Linked DNA regions of Tamandua tetradactyla. The protein of the gene in region 1 interacts with the protein of each later gene in a pairwise test. Links are inferred from orthologs where the notes say so. Each region holds a gene or a part of one and is shown on either strand. Other genes may lie near its edges.

Region 1 (10,613 bases):
AAATCAGTTTTATTTTACACTAAAAGTATAGCAAAAATTGTTAAAGATGCACATGTGCATTTAATATAGATATGCATTCTTATCAACTAATATAAAATAACATGTACAATTTCAATATAATTCTGAAGGCTCCTAAAGTTAAATTTATCATGAAAGTATAACAGAATAATTTCCTGACCACTAGCAGGAGGACAACTGTTAGTATAACTGATGTACAACTCAAAGCTTTTCCTAACACATTCAGACTCAAAAGACAGACATTTTTATGCACCACCCCCTATTGAAAAGCCAAAAAAGCTATCAGTGTTTTTAATACCACAGCCTAATTTTGGAATATAAGCTTTAGAACACATTAAGAATCTCTGGCATGCATACAAATTAGTACTAATTTACTATGACCCTGAGTAAATTATTGCATTCCTCTTTCAAATCCTTACAATTCCCCATTTTTATGTTAACAATGAGGGAAAAGTCAGACAATTCTTTTTGTTGTTGTTACTGTTGGTTAAAGATTTGGGGACCGACCTGGGTCCTATTCTCCACTTTATCTTCTTACCTGGGGTAAGGCCAGCGAGCTTAGGTTATCTAGCTTTCACTCTGCAAACTATGAGGCATTCCTGATTCCTTTAGTAGATCCTGGCTTTTCTTGTTTTACCAGGAACACTGTAGTCTAAAATTTGTGAGATATGTTATGCTGGTTCATTTAAAAAGCACATGCTGACAAGTAACTCAATTTCATTTCAAAATGTAGTATCAAGATTCTTCAACAGCTAATTCTGAAAAGGCCCCCAATAGCTGGCTGTAGTGGAAAGACAACACTAGAGCCCAATGCTTAAGTGTTTCCGGATCGAGTCTAAAGAATTTGCCAGATTTCATTTGGAGGTGCTATCACGCTTCAGTTTTAAATGACAGGACATTTCAGAAAGCCACATCATCCTTCTCACCCTCCACCCTAATCAGTATCCAAAAGCACATAAATACAACTATCTGTTAGCAGCAGAAACAATTCATATTCAATTCCCCCCATCAAATTCGAATCTGTTAAGCTGACCAAAATCAACACAAGACGATGTCAAACCATGACCATAACATTTCTTAGAATTATCAATGCTGAAGTCAAGTTATTTTGCTCATGCAAAGTGAATCAACATTAATTACTGATCAACAGTAGGAAAAAAACAACAAAACCCACACTTCAGAGTAGATGAGCAAAAACTTCAAGTGCTTAAAACAGCAAAAGGATCACTAACACCCCAACCTGATGTTATCACTACCAACTCTCCAGTCTAGGCAGTGTGTACTTACTGCAGTAGTGCCCTCGGACACACTACATAGTGCTACCAACACTTAGAAAAAGTATTTTCCCCTAGATATGAAAGAGAGGTTATGGTTCCTGCTTCTCAAACTTCCAGTTCAGTAAATATTTCAAGTTAGGAATACAGTTCACAAATAACAGATTTTTCCAACAGTTGAGTATGTGTCATAATATTCTAAATCCCACACTAACTGCAAGAGTTTAAACTATGGGACTCAAAAGGGGGAAAAATCTTTTAGATTTTAGGGGATAAGAGCAAGCAAGATAAGGGATGTTTAATTTTAATACATGATCTTTCCCTCTTAAAATAATGCTTAAGCAAACTCCTGTTAATACAAAGATTAATAATGATATGTCTGAACATAAGTAAGCACTGATTTTTATTTTTTAAAAACTATCTTTTAAAGCTGCACAAATCAATCACTAGTTACCAGTGTGTTACTTGATAGAGTAAGCACAAAGTTACTAGCACCACATCTTTCTTCTAGACAAAATCCACAAAGATAATTATTTCCATATCAAGAACCTTACACATGCAGATTCAGAAAAAGTGCTTTTCTCTTGAAGGCGCAAAATTAGATAAAAACTAAGAAAATGATAAACTATCAAATCCTTCCCTCTCTCTCTTTTCAGCTCTGCTAAGAAAGTAGAGACAGGCAGGTTTTAATTTCATGCTAGAATCATTTGTATAGATAGCATAGCGGCAAAGCTGTATGTGGATTCCTGGGTTTTGGAATCCACAACTCACTGCTCTTGGGCAAGCTAGTAAACATACCCAAGCCTCAGTTTCCTTTGACATGAAATGGAGATAATAGTACCTAACTAATAAAGGTCCTTCTGAGAATTAGATTAGATGATGCATGGAAAGAGCTGAGAATCATACCTGAAAGACAGTAAGTGTTCAATAAATACTAGCTGTTATTTTTATTACATGTATATAGACACATTCAAAAACTCTAGCCAGTTTACTTCATTCTCTGTAACAAAGTCAATAAAGATAACCAGCTACCCAGCAACCCAGCCCACAATCATTCACATGTTCAATAGTTTCTTTGTCTAATTTACTTAAATATCATAGTAGTTAGCTTACTCATGAGGAGAAAGGGATAAACTTTGTTTCATTACTAAATACATTACCTACTCAGCCCAGTCAAGAAGCAAACAATTCTCTTTCTCTGTTAAGATCCTACCTTCCTCCAAACAAGACTTCTTACATTCTCACCTGCCACATCCTTTGCCCCCATATCCCAAACAAACATATCCATACTCTTTGTGGCTGTTTGGACTGCAGAAGCCTCATCTCTTCCCCCTTTTAAAATCCTGATACATTGGCTAAACAGGTAGTTAAACACTCCAACCCGACCATTCTCTCAGCACCTGGTCTTGCACAAGACCCAGCTCAGAAGTCACCTCCTCTGAGAAACTTCCCCACCGTAGGCAAAATTAAATCCCCTAAAGCTCCCAAATCTGCCCCAGTAGTTACCTTAAAATGAACAAATCATGTCTCCCCCAACAGAACGGATTACTTGAGGGCAAGAGGAGTGCTCTGCAAGTTCAACTTTAGCACTAAGCAGAGTGCTTGGCACATGTTAAGTGCTCAAGAAATGCTACACTTGAACTGATTTTCTCCCTAGAGAGCACCATCTCTTGCTGGGTGTCCCACTTCAAAATATGAACACAAGACAACTCTCAGAAGAGTAGGGTAACACCGAGGACTGTCCATAACAACACCAGAAAACCTACTCATCAGCTTCTCCCCCGGAGAAGTTCCCAGAACCCAAACTCAAGTGAGCAGGATTACATACCAACACAATTAGTAGGAATTCCCAGCACATTACATGGGGTACCTTCTCCTTCAACAGAATTGTTGGAAAGTCTACAGGGGTGAGCTTTCAACTGGGGGCAGAGTTGGGGAGTTAGTCTTTACTGAGTAAGGACAGTAGAAATATGCAAATAAATGTCTTGACTTGGTTGAAAAGAGTTCAAAAACAGAAAGATCTGGGAAACACTGGCTAGCCTCCGGAAAAACAGCGGCTTCTGAAAAGGAATGAATAGGAAGCAGGGGTGGGGGCTGGCCACTTTCTGTTTCAATAATTAAAATCTTCTTTTTCTTCCCCTCTCCACAGGCCTCCCCTCCAAAAAAGGCCAATATACTAGGTTAGATGGGATGCTCAACCTTTCTTCATGGCAACTACATTAACTGGGCTTCTGAGAAACACTGCTTTGAGAAACCTGCCACAGTGAAAAAGTTCTAGGCATTAATGCCTTAATCTTTAAGAAATCAACATGCCAGAGTCCAACATTTACATGGATGGTTCACAGAAAATCTGCAAACTTTCTGAAGGGTAAGGGAGGTACTACCATCTTTGCAAAGAACAGAACTTGGAAAAAGCAGTGTGGAATTATGAAGAACTCCACAAAGAGCAGCTTTAGTTTTAGAGCCATAATTCCTATCATAAACATCTTACCAAAAGAACAACACAGTTGACGAAAGGAATCTTTCATTCTGGAAGCAGAAGAGGAAGCAAACCAGAAGCAGAAAGGGAATAACCCCCAAAATAAAGTTCCATTTGGAAAAAATAATGGTAATTCAATCTCCCACCCTTCCTTCCCGGGTGAGCTTTGTGATTTCTACTGCTTTGCTCTGCAGAAAGCCCTTTCTGGACAGCTCAAGGAAGGAGCCGAGGGAGGGAGAGAAAGACACAGGCACAGAAAGGAGAGGAGAGAGAAAAAGAAAATGGCGCAGAGACTAAGTCCCGACCGTCGACAAGGCGACTTTCCCGGGAGGAATCCGGGCTCGGGAAGGTTCCCCGAGACCCGGCGGCGGGCGATGCGGGGTCTCGGTTGCCCCCTCTGGGGAGGGCCGCGATCTGGGGGGGCTAGGGTACCCGGAAAGGGGATCCAGAGGCGGCCCGATGGGAACAATGGGGCCGGTAAGCGAGGAGCCGGGACTTAGTCTCTGGGGCGCCATGTCTGTCCTCTGCCGGGCTCCGGCCGGGCGCCGGGTGGGTGGCCGGCTGCTGGGGGGCCCGAGGTCGGGGCGGGGTCGAGGGGCCGGGGACACACTCACCATTCAATCGGAAATCCGCTTCGATCTGGAGAAAGAAAAGGAGGGAATATAAAACAACAGGCAATTTAGCCCCCCGGGAGGTGTGCGCGCGCGACCGGGGGCCTAGTCCACCCTGCGCCCACTGGAATGAGGGGACCCCGGGAACCGCCTATAAGGGCAGCTGAACCCCCCACAAACTATAACTTCGTGGCCTTGGTCCACGGCCTAGCGAGCCGATCTGCCCTGGCGGGCGGCTCCTCGCCGGGAACTCCGGCCTGTCAAAGCAGCCGGGCCGGGGCCTGCGCCGGGGGTCGCGGGAGGGCCGGGGCGGTGATTGGGCGCCGGGAAGGGCCGGGCGGGGCATACCTGGGAATCGTTGTGGAGATGGTCCCCGCTCATGTCGGCCGGAGCGGCGAGTGCGGCGGGCGGCGAGGGGGCGCGAAGGAGACGCAGACGGTCGGGACCGGGCTCTGCAGGGGACGAGGGCTCCCGGAGGCTCCCGAAGCCGCGGATAAGCCGCGACAGCAGCGGCCCTAAGATTCCGGGAGCGGCTGAGGCGGCAAGAGTGGCAGCGACGGTGACTGACTGCCGGGCGGGCGGCGAAAGCAGACCCCAGCAGTTGTGTAACAGCCTAAGTTCGCATTTCGACTCACTGCGCCTGCGCGGCCGCTTTTAAACGGGACGCCGGCGACGTCAGAGACTCGCGGAAAAAGGCCGAGGGTTGCGGGACCCGCCCCCTCACGGTTCGCTAGGAGAACCCGGCTTTGCATCTCAGGCCACGCCCCTAGCCCTCGCACGGCGCTGTGATTTGCATAAGGAGCCGGCTCCTCCCACCGCCGCCCACCAAGAGCAACCTTCCGGTCCTGTCCACGAGCCTTTTCTCGGAACCCAGGATGGCTCTGCTAGAGAGTGCGCACGCGCTGCGGGGACACCGCCTCCAGACCCAGGCCCGCGGCGCGGACACGTGGTGGGCCTTTAAAGGCCGCGGCGGGACCGAGCAAGGCCCGGGTGGATCATCAGCATCTCCCGTGAACTGAGGAAACTCGATGCTGGCGGCGCGGGTTCCAGAGCACACACCGGTGCGTCCTCGCTTGCTGACCTGGCACTGAGACCGCTTGGCGGCAGCTACCCCTTCGCAGTCTTTGTCGAAACCATTCTACTTAAGGATTTTTTCACACCCCCTTAAGAAAATTATTTTACTTTTTCAACAACCGAGAGTCTGGGTTAGTCCCAGTTTCCAGCTGAGTACATGGAGCCCTGGGCTACAGAGGGTCTAATTTCATTCTTTCGTTCTGCAATTAGGTAACGAGCATCTACTTTGAGCCAGGAATTGTGCTAAGGAAGGGGGCCTGGTACCAAAGGGAGTGGAAACACCCGGGCGCTGTCCACCGCTTTGTCCCCAGTATGCTGTTGGAAATGGAGTGGAGTGATTTAGGGAAATTTGTGGGGACATCTACTATGTACTCTGTTCTGAAGTTTAGTAATAGCTCTCTAAGTTTGTCTTTAAAAAGTCAAAGTGTCTCAGAGATAAGTGACCTACAATCGCCTACCTGACATCTATACTTAGATGCCTCATGAGCTTCTCTGGGCTAAACTCATCCGCCTCCTCCACCCAGTTAGGGAAGCCCCACCCTGGACGTATTCCTCTCTCTCATTTCTTATTAGTCCTGCGCATTGCATCCCTTTGTTCCGTCTACTTCTCTCCTGCCCCCTGCCCACATGCCTGTCCAAGTCTAACTTACCTCTTTCATGGATTATTAAAAATACTAATAAGGATCCCTGCTTAACTTTTTGGTCCACAAACCGCTCGGCAACGCTTGCCAAAGTAGTTCTTCCAACACAAAGATCTAATCATGACCTCACTTCCACCACACTTCCCATCACTCAGAGTATGATGTCCTAAATCCTTAAGTAACCATTCTTAAGACCTTGCTTAGCCAGCTTAACTCAAGTATGATCTCTATAAATTTTGCCATATCTATTACCACTTCCACTATTATTACTTAATATTTTAATTCACCCCCCTTTTTTTGTTTGGCTTCATCCTAAGTAATATCTATGAAATTCATTTAAAAATAAATATGAAAAATGTTCACCCTTGGACTGTAAAATCATCTCTATCACATCTAGTGGTAAACACTTGGAGGTTAGTTTTTTTTTTGTTTTTTTTTTTGTCATGGACAGGCTCTGGGAATTGAACCCAGGTCTCCGGCGTGGCAGGGGAGAGCTCTGCCACTGAGCCACTGTTGCCTGCCTGTGAAGTTAATTCTTATGAATGCTTCAAAGTTCAATACAACTTTCCCAAAGAAGCTTTCTAAGACCGCCCCCCCTCACTCCCAGGTTAAGTGCCCTTCATAGAGCACTTACCACAATTGTCATTAAGCTACTAATCAGGTAATTAGTCTTTGTCCCAGTAGAATGGAAGCTCTGTGAAGGTAAGAACCTTGTTCATGTTGTTTGGTGTTGGATCCCCAGCACCCAGTCACAGGCCCTCCTACAAAAGAGGTGCGCAATCAACAAGTGGGTGAAAGCAGGATAATGCATTGGTTAGAAGCACACCCTTGGAAGTCAAAGCAACCTAGGTTTGAATTTTGCTTTGCCTCTTATTAGCTATGTATCCTTGTACAAGTTGTTTAAATTCTCTGAGTCCCATTTTCCTCATCTTTACAATGGTGTTAATGGTAGGAATCTAATAAGCTATTGAAAAAGTAGTTGTTTGAGAACACACGGCTTGTAAGTGGTGAGTCTTAGGTTCAGACTCTGGTCTGTTTGACTTCAAAGCCATGCTCTCTTTCTGAAGCAAGCTGCCAGAGCCTGTTTTACCTTGCTTCTGGTGCCTGTCCTTATAATCTTCCAGGCCTCAGAAGCAATCCCAGGCCACCAGGTGAGAATCTGGCCCTACCCGCTTGCTGCAGTTAAACCAGTATAATTTGATGATTGCCTTTGGGGATAGCAGGACTACCACTGCAGCCCTGCTTCCGTTCTCAAGTCCTCAAGGAGAATCTGCGTTTGTCTACCAATGGGCATTTGCCCCAGTGGGCCTGAAAACAGAGTGCAAACTTCAGAGCAACCTATCAAGCATGTGCCCCATGCACAAACATACAGGTTTGTAGGCAGTCTTGTCACAGACTGAGCTTCTCTGCCAGCGTTCTAGTTTGCTACCTGCCAGAATGCAACACACCAGAGACGGATTGGCTTTTAATAAAAGGGGATTTATTTAGTTAATGTATAGTTCTTCAGAGGAAAGGCATCTAACTTTCGACTGAGGTTCTTTCTTACATGGGAAGGCACAAGGCGATCTCTGCTGGCTTCTCTCCAGGCCTCTGGGTCCCAACAACTTTCCCCGGAGTGATTTCTTTCTGCATCTCCAAAGGCCTGGGCTGAGCTGCAAGTGCCGAGATGAGGTATGCTGAGCTGCTTGAGCTGTGCTATGTTGAGCGCTCTCATTTAAGCACCAGCCAATTAAGTCAAACCTCATTCATTACAGCAGGCACCCCTCCTAGCCGACTGCAGATGTAATGAGCAACAGATGAGGTTCATGTACCATTGGCTCATGTCCACAGCAATGGAACTAGGCACCTTCACCTGGCCAAGTTGACAACTGAATCTAACACAGCCAGCATGAGTGACTGGCAGTGTTCAGAGGTCTCTGGGCAGAAAACGAATGCCTGGGTTCACTGGCTTACCCAGGCCCATGTGGCCTCTCTCCCTCCTGAAACTTCCCCACAATGTGACCCATCTAGTATTTGAGAAGATTATAGTGACACATAGGTAAACATTTTTGTTTTAATAGTTATGGATATATTTCAATGTATATGAGAAAACAAGACATTTAACCACCACGTCAAATCCATGATTTTAAGGATGTAAGGATGAGGCTTGAAAAAAAAAAGTTGGTTGATTGACTAAAATAAAAATATCAAGGAATAGCACAGATACGACAAATGAGATACAGCTTAGGTCTATGACAAAGGTCATAGGCAAGCAAATCAAGCTCTGGAAACGCTGCTTTAAATCAATCTGCTCACTTGTGGACTGTCCCAGGCCCCATAAAAAGGCAAATGAGAGCTGATTTTGTAGGTCTTTTTCCCAAAGTATGCACTGTGAAAGGTGGACTACACCTAGTACATATTCCTCCAGAAGAAGAGCTCCTCCTACAAATGTATACATTGTTATGTTTTAAAGTTAAACAGGTTTATTTTCCACGGGACTTCTTGCAGCCTTTGATATGCTAACACATGCATGCACGTCTTCGAAATGCATTTAAACACAGAAACTGTTTTCTTCCAGACTACCTCTTGAGACTTGGGCTCTTTGGAATGACTGTCTTGGGACATCCTGATCTAAGTGGTTGCCCAAGATTCTGCCCTCACTCATTTGCCTCTGACTCACCTGGGCTGGCCCAACTCTTGGCTACCAGTACTGAACACCTATAGGGTTGTCTGAATACCTCCTGCTTTTCAGGGACCAATCCTTCTGCACACCTTCCCCAATGCATGGTTATAGAGTGAAATGTATAATGTGCTGCTTGCCTTCTGACTGTTGTGTGGACCAGGATGGGCAGTTGATCCAAACTGGACCCTATAGATGCACTTCCTTGGGACTTCAGAATTAGGAAGAAGGGATTTGGTTGCTTCTTGTGGATGGATCTTTATCATGTAGATTAGGGAGCTGTCCCTAGTGGTATTTTCTGCCAATAGGACCAGAGAAGCAGAGAAAGCTGAAAGAGAGAGAGAGAGAGAGAGAGACAGACAGACATAGATATGCAAAATAAGAAGAGATGGAGAGAAAGTCCCAATGGTATTTTGCTCTATTCAGCTCTGATGGGTCACTTAAGATCAAGAGCTCTAACATAGAGTACTAATCTACATTTGCTTCCTGGGCAATCTCAAGGCCTCTGATATCCCTCTGGACCCCTCAGGTTATGACCCTTGGATACTCATCCTGGCATTTTTCGTTTGAGGGGGTGAAGTCCATGGGCGGGGAATCAAACCCAGGTCTCCCACATGACAGGCAAGCATTCCACCACTGAACCAACCATGCATCCCCCCTCCTGACATTTTAACCCATGGATGCCTGCTCCTTCTCAGCTTTGTCGATCCTTTTGAGAGCAGCATCTTCTAGCAGTTCTCTCTGGTCATATTGCCTTGTCTGAGGACCCAGTGCCCTTTCAAGATTTAGACATACTCAGAAAAGTACTTCCTTGATACTCCAGAAAGGAGACTCAGGCTTGCAATTCCAGTTGCAGCCAGAAATATGACAAAATGAGGGCAGTTTGGCAGAGCTGACATTGGAGATAGGCAATGAGGCCATTGCAGGTATCTCAGGAGCATTGTCAACTGCTTTGGAATGAATGCTAAGGTGAGGACTCTGAATGAGACAGCAGGATTTTGGCCCATGCCTTGGGTAAAGCCTAAGGTAAGTTTATGGCAGCAGCTCTCTCTGAATCTCCCCCTAACAGGGTGTGTTGCTGGGATATCCTGCTGCTACTCAGGTCCAGCTACCTCTACCTGTTGGAAAGCTGAACCAGTGGGCAGGAGGAGCCAGAGAAGTGGGAACCAGGCTTCAAGAAACACTGGAAAATTCTAGGAGAGAAACTCTAAGCTGATTCAGCATGACTTCCCAGGAAAATGCAACAGAAGCGGCAGCTTCACCCAATAACCAGCAAGTGACAGCTTAGCCAAGATCAGGTTTTAAAAGATCTGGCTTCCCACCCCTCTCACTAAGCCCCCTAAATCCTCAATACCATCCCTTTCACCTCCCCAGACCCTGGCTTCCTCAAGCATCTTCTCTCCCTCCTGCATGGGGAACTTCTCCACTTACTTCCTCTTTCAATTTTCCCCCTTGATCCTGTTAGAGATAATAGCTCACATTAATTTTTTACTTACTTACCATGTGCTCTGCCCTGTGGTGAGGGCCTCATGCATGTTATCTCATTTAATTTTCACATATGAATCAGGTACTGCTGGTTACACCATTTTACTGACAAGGAAACTGAGGTTTAGGAAGGCTAATTAAATTAATTTGTCCAAAGTCACACAGCTACTGAGTGGTAAAGCAGCCTGACTACAGAGCCCTGTCTCTCTTTGTGTGTGTGTGTATCTTTTTTTCCCTCCCCTTAGACATTTTATTTTGAAGTAATTTCAAACTCATAGACAGTTACAAAAAATATGAAACCCACACAGAGAACCCCCAACACCCAGATCCATGAATTTTAACATTTTGCCACATTTGATGTATCATTCTGCC
Region 2 (9,864 bases), on another chromosome or scaffold:
CTTAGCCAAATGAAACAAATACCTAAAAGAAATACCAACAATGGATTTGCTAAAACTACAGGAATTTATTGGCCCACAGTGTTGTGGATAGGAGAACTCCAAAATCAAGGTGTCAGCAAGGCGATGCTTTCTCCCTGAGGACTGTTGGGTTCCGGGCTGCTGGGCGTCCCTAGTGCTTGGCATTTCCGTCACCTAGTAATGGTCATGGCAGCATCCTCCCTCTCTCTTCCAGATTCAGCCAACTTCTAGCTTGCAGCTAATCCCTGTGGCTTCTCTTTCTGTCTCCAATTTCCATTCCTGATGAGGACTTCGGCTTAGTGGATTAAGGCCACCCTCATTCAGTGTGAGCACCTTAAGCAATAACATCTTCAAGGGTCCAACTTACAAATGGATTCACAGGACCAGTAGTTGAGTAGTTGAGAACATGTCTCTTGTGGGGACATGATTCAATTCCCAATAACAGGACAGGTGAAAAAACTGAAATGTAGACTGTAAGCCTTAGACTGATGTTAAATTTCTTGAATTTGATAACTGCACTTCAGTGGTTTCACTAGTGAATAGCCTCGGTCTTAAGAAATGTACATGGAATCATTAAGTGTTCAAGGAGCATCATGTGTACAACCTCAGACAGCTACCTAGATGGACTGACAGGCAGGTGGACAGATAGATTCAGCAAATATGGCAAAATGTTAACACTGGTGGATCTAGGTATTTGGGCAGGGAGAGGGTACTTTGGAGTTGACTACGAGGGTTGCACATTTTTTTTAAGTGTCCTGTACGTTTGAAAGTATTTCAAAATAAAACATTAAAAAGAAAGGAAGTGAAAAAACCACCATAGGAGAAAATATCTGGAAACCCCCAATCTAATAAGGACTTAACATCCAGAACATATAAAGAACCCCTACAACTCAACAACAAAGACAAACAACCTAATTAAACAATGGGACAAGGAACTGATTGCCATTTCTCCAACAAAGATCTACAAATGGCCAAAAAAAAAAGCACATGAACAGATAGATGCTCACCTCATTAGCCATCAGGGAAAGGCGAACTAAAACCATGAGCTACCTCACCCCAGAAGCATGGCTCCTATCAAAGAACCCTGAAAATGTAAAATGGTGGCTCCGCTGTGGAAAATAATTAGCAGATTCTCATAAAGAACTACCATATATATATATATATAATTACAGAATGAAGATATACTGCCCATCCAAGGTATATGCCCCACAGAGCTGAAAGCAGGGACTCAGATATTTCTACCCCAACATCTATCGCTGCATGATTCACAATGACCAAAAAGTGGAAGCAACCCAAGGGTCCATCAACAGGTAGTTGGAGAAACAAAATACGGTTCATCCAGACAATGGCACACTGTCCAGCTGTAAAAAGAAGTGAAGGGCTGGTCCACGCTACTACAACACGGATGAATCTTGAAGATATTGTATTAAGTGAAATGAGCCAGACACAAAAGGACAAATAGTGTGTAATTTCTCATATGAAATAACTAGAAAGGCAAAGTAATGGAGACAGAGAAGGGCCCACTTACAGGTTCCAGGGCTTGTGGCAGGGGCTCCATTCAATCCACAATGTGGAGGTAACTGTGCCCTGCTCCTCCCATCCTGGCCTGGGGCACCTGACACCCACATGACATTACTGGTGACCTGACCTTGACCCCTGGATGGACCCGCTCAGCTTTCCCACGTTCAAGTTACCATTGTCCCCTGTCTGCTCTGCTCTCCTGAAGCCAGTGCCCACACCCAGCCCAGTCCAGCCAGAGTTCACCTCGGGCTGGTGCGTCTCTACACCTTACACTTGGGATTCTCCTGCAATGAAAGGCCGTCACTTTCTCTGGAGTGGACTCCCCAGGATTTACTTTCTTCTTCAGGTCAACCAGCGTTAAGCCTGTCTGCGGCCTTGCATGTGCTGCCAGGGCCTTTAATCTCCAGCTAACCCAGGTGTCCCATCCGCCCCATCTCACAGGTATAAACACTGAGGCCCAGTGGGTACCCGCCCAGGCCACGCAGCCACTCCTGGCCCAGCAATGGCCTGCGCCACCCACGCAGGTAAAGTGTCAAGAGCATGAGTGGAATTACAACCTGAGGCCTGGAAAGAAAGGAGAAGTGCGAGCGTACAGTCGGGGCTCCAGTGGCAGGGCCTCTGGGCGCTTCTGGGGGGCGGCAGACACGTCCAACACGCGAGCTCAGGGCAAGTCGCTGCAGCTACTATTGCCAGAGAGGACAGGCTTCACCGACATGGCATTTAGATACTCACCCCCACCCCATCTTAAACCAAAACAAACCTGCAGCCCCGGTGCCCAGCTTGCCCCAGGACCATGGCCTTCAAGCCCTATATGTGGGTACACCTCACGGCCTGCCCCCCATCCCCAGGAAGCATTACAACTCTGACGCCTCTGCCCTGCCCAGCACTGAAGGACCCACCCGTCCCTGTGCCCTGAGACCCCACTTTCCAGGAGGCCCCTCACTGGCATTACTGAGAAATGGTTCCAGGGCCCCCCTTCTCCAGTCACTTGCTCAACTCATGGAGCCCCACATGCTGCAAACCCCAGATCACACCTGCTCCGGGCGCAACGCCACTTTCCCAACCCAAATGCTGATACATCACCCCGCCAGGGATATCAGACCCCCCTAGCACCACGTGCCCCAGGGAACACTTAACCCCCACCCCAGCTTGTCCTTGCCTGCACACACTTAAGTCAGAAGTCAGGAGACCCCAACATTACAGCCCACCGCCCCCATTCCCCACTCTCCCTCATCTGCCAAGCCACTTTCTCAGGGAGCCATGGGACATACCTTGTCCCAAAGAAAAACTGCACCATTCCACTTCCCCCTTCGGTCAACCTTCCCAAGCACCTCTGAGAGCCCTTGAATACCACTCCACAAGCTGCGCCCCGCCCCCCTGCTCCTCTGGCTCCAGCCTTGCTGTGGCTCCCACTTGCCCAGCTCCTTCCAGTTGGCCTGCACACCCCTGACTCTGAAGCTCCCCATGCTGCCCACTCGGTATCATCTGCTCAGGCGGCTACCCCTGGAGAAGGTCAGACCACTACCACTCCTGGGCAACCTGGAGAGCCCCCCACATGCCCGGAAATCGTCATTAGCTACCCCATCCTCACTTAACCCCCACCTGCCTCCTTCTTTGCTCAGGGGATCCTTGGTCCCCCTTGGTCAACATGCAAACAGACACTCCAGGAACCAGACACACGCCCAAAGTCCAGTACTTCCAAAACTCACAGTGACAGGGTTCCACCAGCCCCTTCCAACAGAAAACCCAGATCCCCAAATGGCCCACTCCACCCCAAAGAGCTGACCGTGAGCTGGGAGGGAGAGGGGGCTGCCAACTTCGCTTTACTTATTCCAGCATGTTTCAAGGGAGGTGATGGGAAAGAAGGAACATCTTTCAAGACCCCATGGTGCCAGGCGGCAACTGAGGAACCCCATGGGCAGGCCGAGGCGCAGGGGGGCAAGGGGTAGAGAGGGTTCACAGGCTGCCCACCCCCAAGGCCTCCCATTCCAAGCTTGGGGGGCAGCAGCAGAGGCCAGGCCCCCTGGATGGAGAAGGAAAGGGCTGGAATGCAGAGACAAGCACGGGCCAAGGGACACGGCCACCAATCCCCAGAGACCCAAACAGGGAGGACCACGACCGGCAGAAAAAGCCAAGAGCAAGCCGGAAACAAAGGGTCTCAAAGACACAAGTTCAGTAAGAGCTGCATGTCACCCAGGATGGGAAGAACCCTGGAGTCTGGGGGCTGCACTCTGCAGGGGGGTGGCAGAGAAGAAGGCTGGAGCAACCCCTCCTTCCAGAAAGGAGGCCTGGGGATGGCCGGTGACTACAGGTCGGGGAGGGGAGGGGAACAGGGGTGCTGCTGCACTTGAGCTCACGGTGCACGGAAGGGGCAGAGGCTTGGAAGAAGAGATCCCTCTAGGGCAAATTGAGGGAAGAAGAGCAAGGTAGAGCCCCCTGAACCAGGAGCAAATGGTGGTGGTTGGGGGTGGTGGTGCCAGGTTCCTGAGCCCAGGCTGAGGAGATGGGCGGGGGGGGGGGTGGGGGGGGTGGGGGGGGGTGGGTTTCTAAGGCCAGAGGTCTGGGTTGGGGGTGGGTGGGTAGCCAAGAGGCTGGGGTAGGGGGGGTGTGCGTGTTCGGACCAGGGGCGCAGTTGGGGGCGGGGCCCACCGATCAATCAAGGGCAGGGGGTCCCGGGTAGGAATCTCCGGTCGTAGATCCCAGGGATCCCTGGAGGGCTCGTGTGATTGGCTTCCAGGGGTCGCTGGGGCAAGCGCCTCTAACGGGAGCGGGGGCCCCGGGGGTCTCGAGGGTGGGGGGAGTGGAAGGTGGGTGGCGGCACCCAGGGTCCCCGGCCGGGGACGGGGGGCCTGCGAGTGCTGGGGCCCAGGGATCCGAATCCGGACGAGCCCGGGCGTGAGGGGCCCGGGGGCCGGGGTCGGCGGGGGTCGGGGACGGCAGGCCCACCTGTGCGCGGGGACGCGCTGCGCGCCGAGGCCCTTGCCCACCAGGAAGTGCACGTCGCAGAGCACGTCGTTGTTGAAGAGGAAGGCGAAGCGTTCCTTCACCGTGGGCTTGGTGGCCTGCCAGTTGTACGCGGGTTCGCGGAGCAGCGCCCCCGGCCCCGCCGCCCCCGGCCCGGGCCCCGCCGCCTCCTCGGCCGCCCGCTCCCCGCAGCCCGCCGCGGCCTGCGCGCTCGGCCCGGGGCCCGGCACGGGGGGCGGCGCGCCGGGGGCGGCGGGGCCCGAGCCGGGGGCGGCGGCGGAGGCGGCGGCGGCGGCGGCAGCTGCGTTGCCGGGGGCCGGGGCGGCCGCGTTGGCGCTGGGCCCCGGGCCGCCCCCCGCGCCGGAGCCGGCGACCCCCGGCGGGCACGACGCGCGCCCGCCGCTCCCACCCGCCGCCATCTTGTCGGTGCGGCGCCGCGGGGGGAGGGCGGGGCCGGGAGGGGGGAGAAGGAGGGGGGAGGGGGAGGGGGCAGGGAAGGGGGAGGGGGAGGGGGAGGGGAGAGGAGGGACCCGGGAGGGGAGAGGGGAGAGGGGAGAGCGGGGAGGGGAGAGAGGAGGGGGAGGGGAGACGAGCGGAAAGGGGAGGGGTGGGGAGGGGAGGGCCGGACCCAGACTCAGATACCTCTCCCGGGCGTCTCGTCCCTAGATCCCTAACTCCAGACCCCGACTCTAAATCTCGACCCCACATTCTAGTCCCTGCACCCCAGGCTCCAAACCCCAGACCTGGATCCCGGACCCAGACCTTAGCCCCAGGTATTCTACTCCTCCAGTGTAGGGGACCCCCTAGTACAGAGGGGGCAAACTGGGGCCCCTGGCGAGGGGGCGTCCGTGCATTGGGGACCCAGCAGGTAGATGGGGCCTCTGCTGGGCCAGGGCTCGCTGGGCAGCGTGGGCAGAGCTGGAAACCCCCCAAACCACTAAGCACAATCAAAGCACGTCCAAGGGCATCAGTGACCAAATGTCAAAAAACTGAGGGACAGGAAGCCAGGAGGGCCCACAACAGGGTCCCTTCATCTGGGGATGCAGCCTGGGAGGTTCAGCCTGGGAGAGGGGATGCAAAAAAAATTTTTTTAATTCTGAAAGTAATATATGAAAAATATTAGCACACTAATATAAGGTATTAATAATAGGGTGCTATATGGAAACTCAGGATTTTATGGACAGCTGTAAACCTACAACTTCTGTAATTAAAACGAAAGAGAAAAATAAAACAAAACTTGGAAAAGATAGGAAATATATAGGAAAATAAAAATTAATATCATCTCTCATCCACCCTCCAAATTTTACCAGTATTAGCACTTTGGCATATTACTTTGTTGTCTTTGTGTCATACAAAGAATAGACCCATCTTATAGAGTTGGAATCTTCATGAATATATGTAATATGATAAGAGGATATCACTCTTTTGGGACAGGAGTGCTGAAAAAGGACAAACAGAAATGAAAACTTTTTTTTTCATCCGAATAAAATCAGGTTCAGAGATAGTACTAGCTCCTGGACAAAGAAAGGAAATCCTCGTTCATCAGTTTTGAGAATCCTTATGCATCCATGTGCATTCACAGTCTAGAGTTGTTTTAGTTAACTCTAATGTTCGTTGATAAGGGGCTCCCCTAGATGTGCCACCTGGACCTTCTTTTTTTTTTGTATGCTGTATCGCAGGGTCATTCGTTATTTTTCCATGTGAGTATCCTATTATTGCAGCACCATTTGTTTTTATGTTTTGGGAGGTGAATGAACTGGGAATCGAACCCGGATCTCCTGCATGGTAGGTGAGAAGTCTACCACTGAACTACCCTTACAACCCACTCCCACCCAGAATTTTAAGCCTCCTGGCTCAACATATGCCACACTGAGCAAACATATGCCACATTGCACCTTCCTTGTCCATGAGTACAGACCCAGTTATGGGGAACTCTTCAGGTAGAGAAGAGTTTAACTGTTGGGAGAGCTCTCCAATTATCAAACATGAGTTTTTGGCAGAAAACCTTTCGGAGGCTCCTTCACTGATGGACTCAAAAAAGTATATTTTTTAAATCGTAACTTCATTCTGCTATTTCCAATGTAATTCTAACATTGTCCCCCTTGGCAAATTATGGCCTGCCCATGAGCCAAATATGGCCCTCCACCTATGGTTGTAAATAAAGTTTTATTGGTACACAGCCACAGCCATTTATTTGCATGTACCTCTGGCTGCCTCTACCATAGAGCAGCAGAGTTCAGTAATTGCAACAGAGAAACACAGAGCCTGCAGCGCAGAAAATGTTTGCTGTCTGGTCCTTTATGGAAAAAGTTTGCAGACCCCTGCTCTATCATATGCCTAATTAAATCCTTAGTTTCTCACTCCAACTATAATTTAATAGATAAGCCATAGAAGTCCCTGAAGATCTTGATTATAACCTGTTTCATTTCTTATTTTCTTAATCTGTTAACATAAAATATAAATACAGACCATGATATTTGTATCAACAGTGCCTAAAATAACTGCTGATTCGAAACTAAGATCCAAGATGACAGTCACTAAAGTGGTGAGAGCTAGTGCCTCGCCCGTTGCTTGGTTCGGGAATGGATGGGCAAACAAACCTTGCCAATGTGATGAAAGTCTGCCAGGGCGGGAAATTCAGGAAGGGGTTCTGTGCATGAGAAGGAGGAGGGGGCCTGAAGGTTAGGGTTAGAGCAGAGGGATGGAAGGAGTCTGGGTCTGCGTAACTGGGCTGAAACACCCTGATCATACCATACCTGCAAGCCGAACTAGCCTGGGGCTTTCTGTTCTATGAGCTAATAAACGTCTTTACAGTTTTAAGCAAGTTAAGTCTGATTTCCTGTAATTCGTGGCTAAAGGCACGTAGTTCATGCACCTGCCCCAGGTGAACACCTCCCACTGATGACAAAGAAGTGGCTTTGTTCTTGCATCTTTGTAATAATCCCAGACACCGTGTGCTTATTTACATAAATAGTCATTGTTTCAGTTAGATACCTGTTACCACACAGCAACCGCCTTGAGACATAGATGTGTCACCTGGGGGGGGGGACATTTCTGGGGTTGTCTGTCAGCTTCCTAAGGATACTGAAACAAATTGCCACCAAGTTAGGGGCTTAAAACAGCACAGATTTATTATGTTACGTTCTGGAGATCAGAAGCAAGGACCTCACTGGGCTACAGCCAAGCTGTCAACAGGACATCCCTTCCTTCTGGGGGTCCTGGAAGAGAATGCCCTTTGCATTTTCTAGCTTCTAGAAGCCACCCGCATTTCTTGGCTTGTGGCCACCCATCACTTTCCAATCTCTGCCTCCGTCATCACGTCCTCTTCTCTGATGCTGACCTTGGAGTCTTTCTCTGAAAAGGACATTTCTGATGACATTGAGCCCCCACCCCCCAGATAATCCAGGAGAATCCCCCATCTCAAGGCCCTTCACTTAATCCCGTCTGCAAAGTTCCTTTTGCCACGGGATGGGACTGTCACAGGTTCCAGGATTAGGACATGGTATCTTTAGGAGCCGTTATTCTCCAACCAGGGGATGAATGGGGCATTCTGGATCTTAACAGAAGTTTCCTTTTCAGAAACATGCAAGTCATTACCTGTAGATTTCACCTCAAAAAAAATAAAATAAGCAAATATCAAACTCAGGTGACCGATATGCTGGTGGTTTTCACACTGACTTATTCGGGAGGCAGTAAACTGATGCTTGCAACCCGGAAATGATTGAAAAATAAGATGAACACATGGCCAATACATGCATGAAATGATACTTAAATCACTGGTTATCAGGAGAAGGGAAATCAAAACCACAATGAGATACCACCTCACACCCCCTCGGACAGCCATTACTTAAAACAAAAAAAAACACAAAAACAAATGCTGGCAAGGATGCAGAGAAATAAGGACTTTTCTATGTTGCTCGTGAGACTTTGAAATGGTGTAGCTGCTGTGGAAATCAATGAGGCAGTTGCTCAGGAAGTTGAACATTGGATTAATGAGTGACCTGGCAATTCCACTTCTAGGGTATATATGCAAAAAAAACCGAAAGCAGTTTTCGGTTAGATATTTGTCCACCAATGCTCATCGCAGTGTTATTCCAAAGAGCCAAGAGGTGGAAGCCACCCAAGGGTCGATCAACAGGTGACGGATAAACATGCCCACAATGGAGTATTATTCAGCTGTAATACTGGATGTTGTGATACATATGACAACATGAATGAGGCTGGAAGACATCATGTTGAGTGCAGTAAGCCAGACACAAAAGGACAGATATAGTATAATCATGCATACATAAAATACTCGGAAGTAACAGATTTCCTAGAGGCAGATAGAAGATTCCAGATTACCAAGGGAACAGGGTGTGGGGCAGGTGGGAGAGAAGAAGCTGTTGCTTAAATGGATGCACAGTTTCTATTTGAAATGATGCAAAAGTTGTGGTGATGGATGATGGGGCAGTAGTGGCACAATATTATAGTTAATACAACTAAAGTACACTTGAGAGTTGCTAAAATTGAAATTTTGAGTGGTACAGATATTAATACCATAAAAAGTAAAATAAATAAATAAACTGGCATGATGAAGGGACCGAAGGTTGGAGATAAGACAGGGATACTAAAATAGCCATGATGGAATGTAGATGTTCAGTCTGGGATGCACACTATAAAATTATTTAGAATGTGTTGTACGTTTGAAATTTTTCATAATAAACTGTCAAGGGGCAGGGAAACTAGACATTTTGCTTTTCATCATCCCATGGGTTGGCTGGGCAGTCCTACTGCTGGTCTAACTGGGACTAAGCTATGCAGCCACGGGTACTTGGGGCGGGCAGCGGGGCCCGGTGGCCCGAGATGGCTCCATTCCTGTACTGGGCAGGCAGTGCTGGCTGCGGCTGGCTGGGAGCTTCCTGCCTCCATTGCGATGTCGGGGAAAAGGCAGATGCTGCAAGACTTCTTGGAGTCTTTTGGGGCCTGGACTACAGAACACGCCCGACCTTTTCCAGCACATTCCATTGGTCAAAGCATGTGCAAACCATTCCTGAGCTCAGGGGGTGGAGAGAGCGATGCCCCTTTGTCAAAATCCCACTGCAAATGGGAGTGCATAGGGCAGGAAGGTTCTGTGGGCATTGTGCAGTCCCGCCCCAAGCCCTTGGGGCTCTCTGTTTAAGTTGTAGAGTTCTGGGGTGCTGGTGGTGCCCTGATTGCCAGTGCTTCCTGCTCATCCAGTGGCGCAAACGATACCCCCAAGAGTCTGCAAACTCTTCATGAAGCTATTGATTAGGGCGAGAGTTCCCATGGTATTGAGATGGTTGGGTGACCTACTGAAGGGACCTGGTGACCATACCGCCGAACTGCCCTCACGTGCCA

Evidence for each region. The genes of interacting proteins can lie anywhere in the genome.
Region 2: the proteins of TOP1 (region 1) and BTBD2 interact in a two-hybrid assay, tested with the Homo sapiens proteins (2 studies listed by BioGRID). The link is inferred for Tamandua tetradactyla from reciprocal best matches to the Homo sapiens genes TOP1 and BTBD2.

What each region holds. Positions count from the first base shown.
Region 1 is NC_135327.1:11,132,034-11,142,646, forward strand, and holds the start of TOP1 (DNA topoisomerase 1), read right to left. Parts: upstream 5,034-10,613; 5' UTR 4,764-5,033; coding exon 4,731-4,763; intron 4,411-4,730; coding exon 4,386-4,410; intron 4,017-4,385; exon of another isoform or gene 3,442-4,016; intron 1-3,441. UniProt on the Homo sapiens protein: Releases the supercoiling and torsional tension of DNA introduced during the DNA replication and transcription by transiently cleaving and rejoining one strand of the DNA duplex.
Region 2 is NC_135337.1:80,945,330-80,955,193, reverse strand, and holds the start of BTBD2 (BTB/POZ domain-containing protein 2), read right to left. Parts: upstream 4,923-9,864; coding exon 4,486-4,922; intron 1-4,485.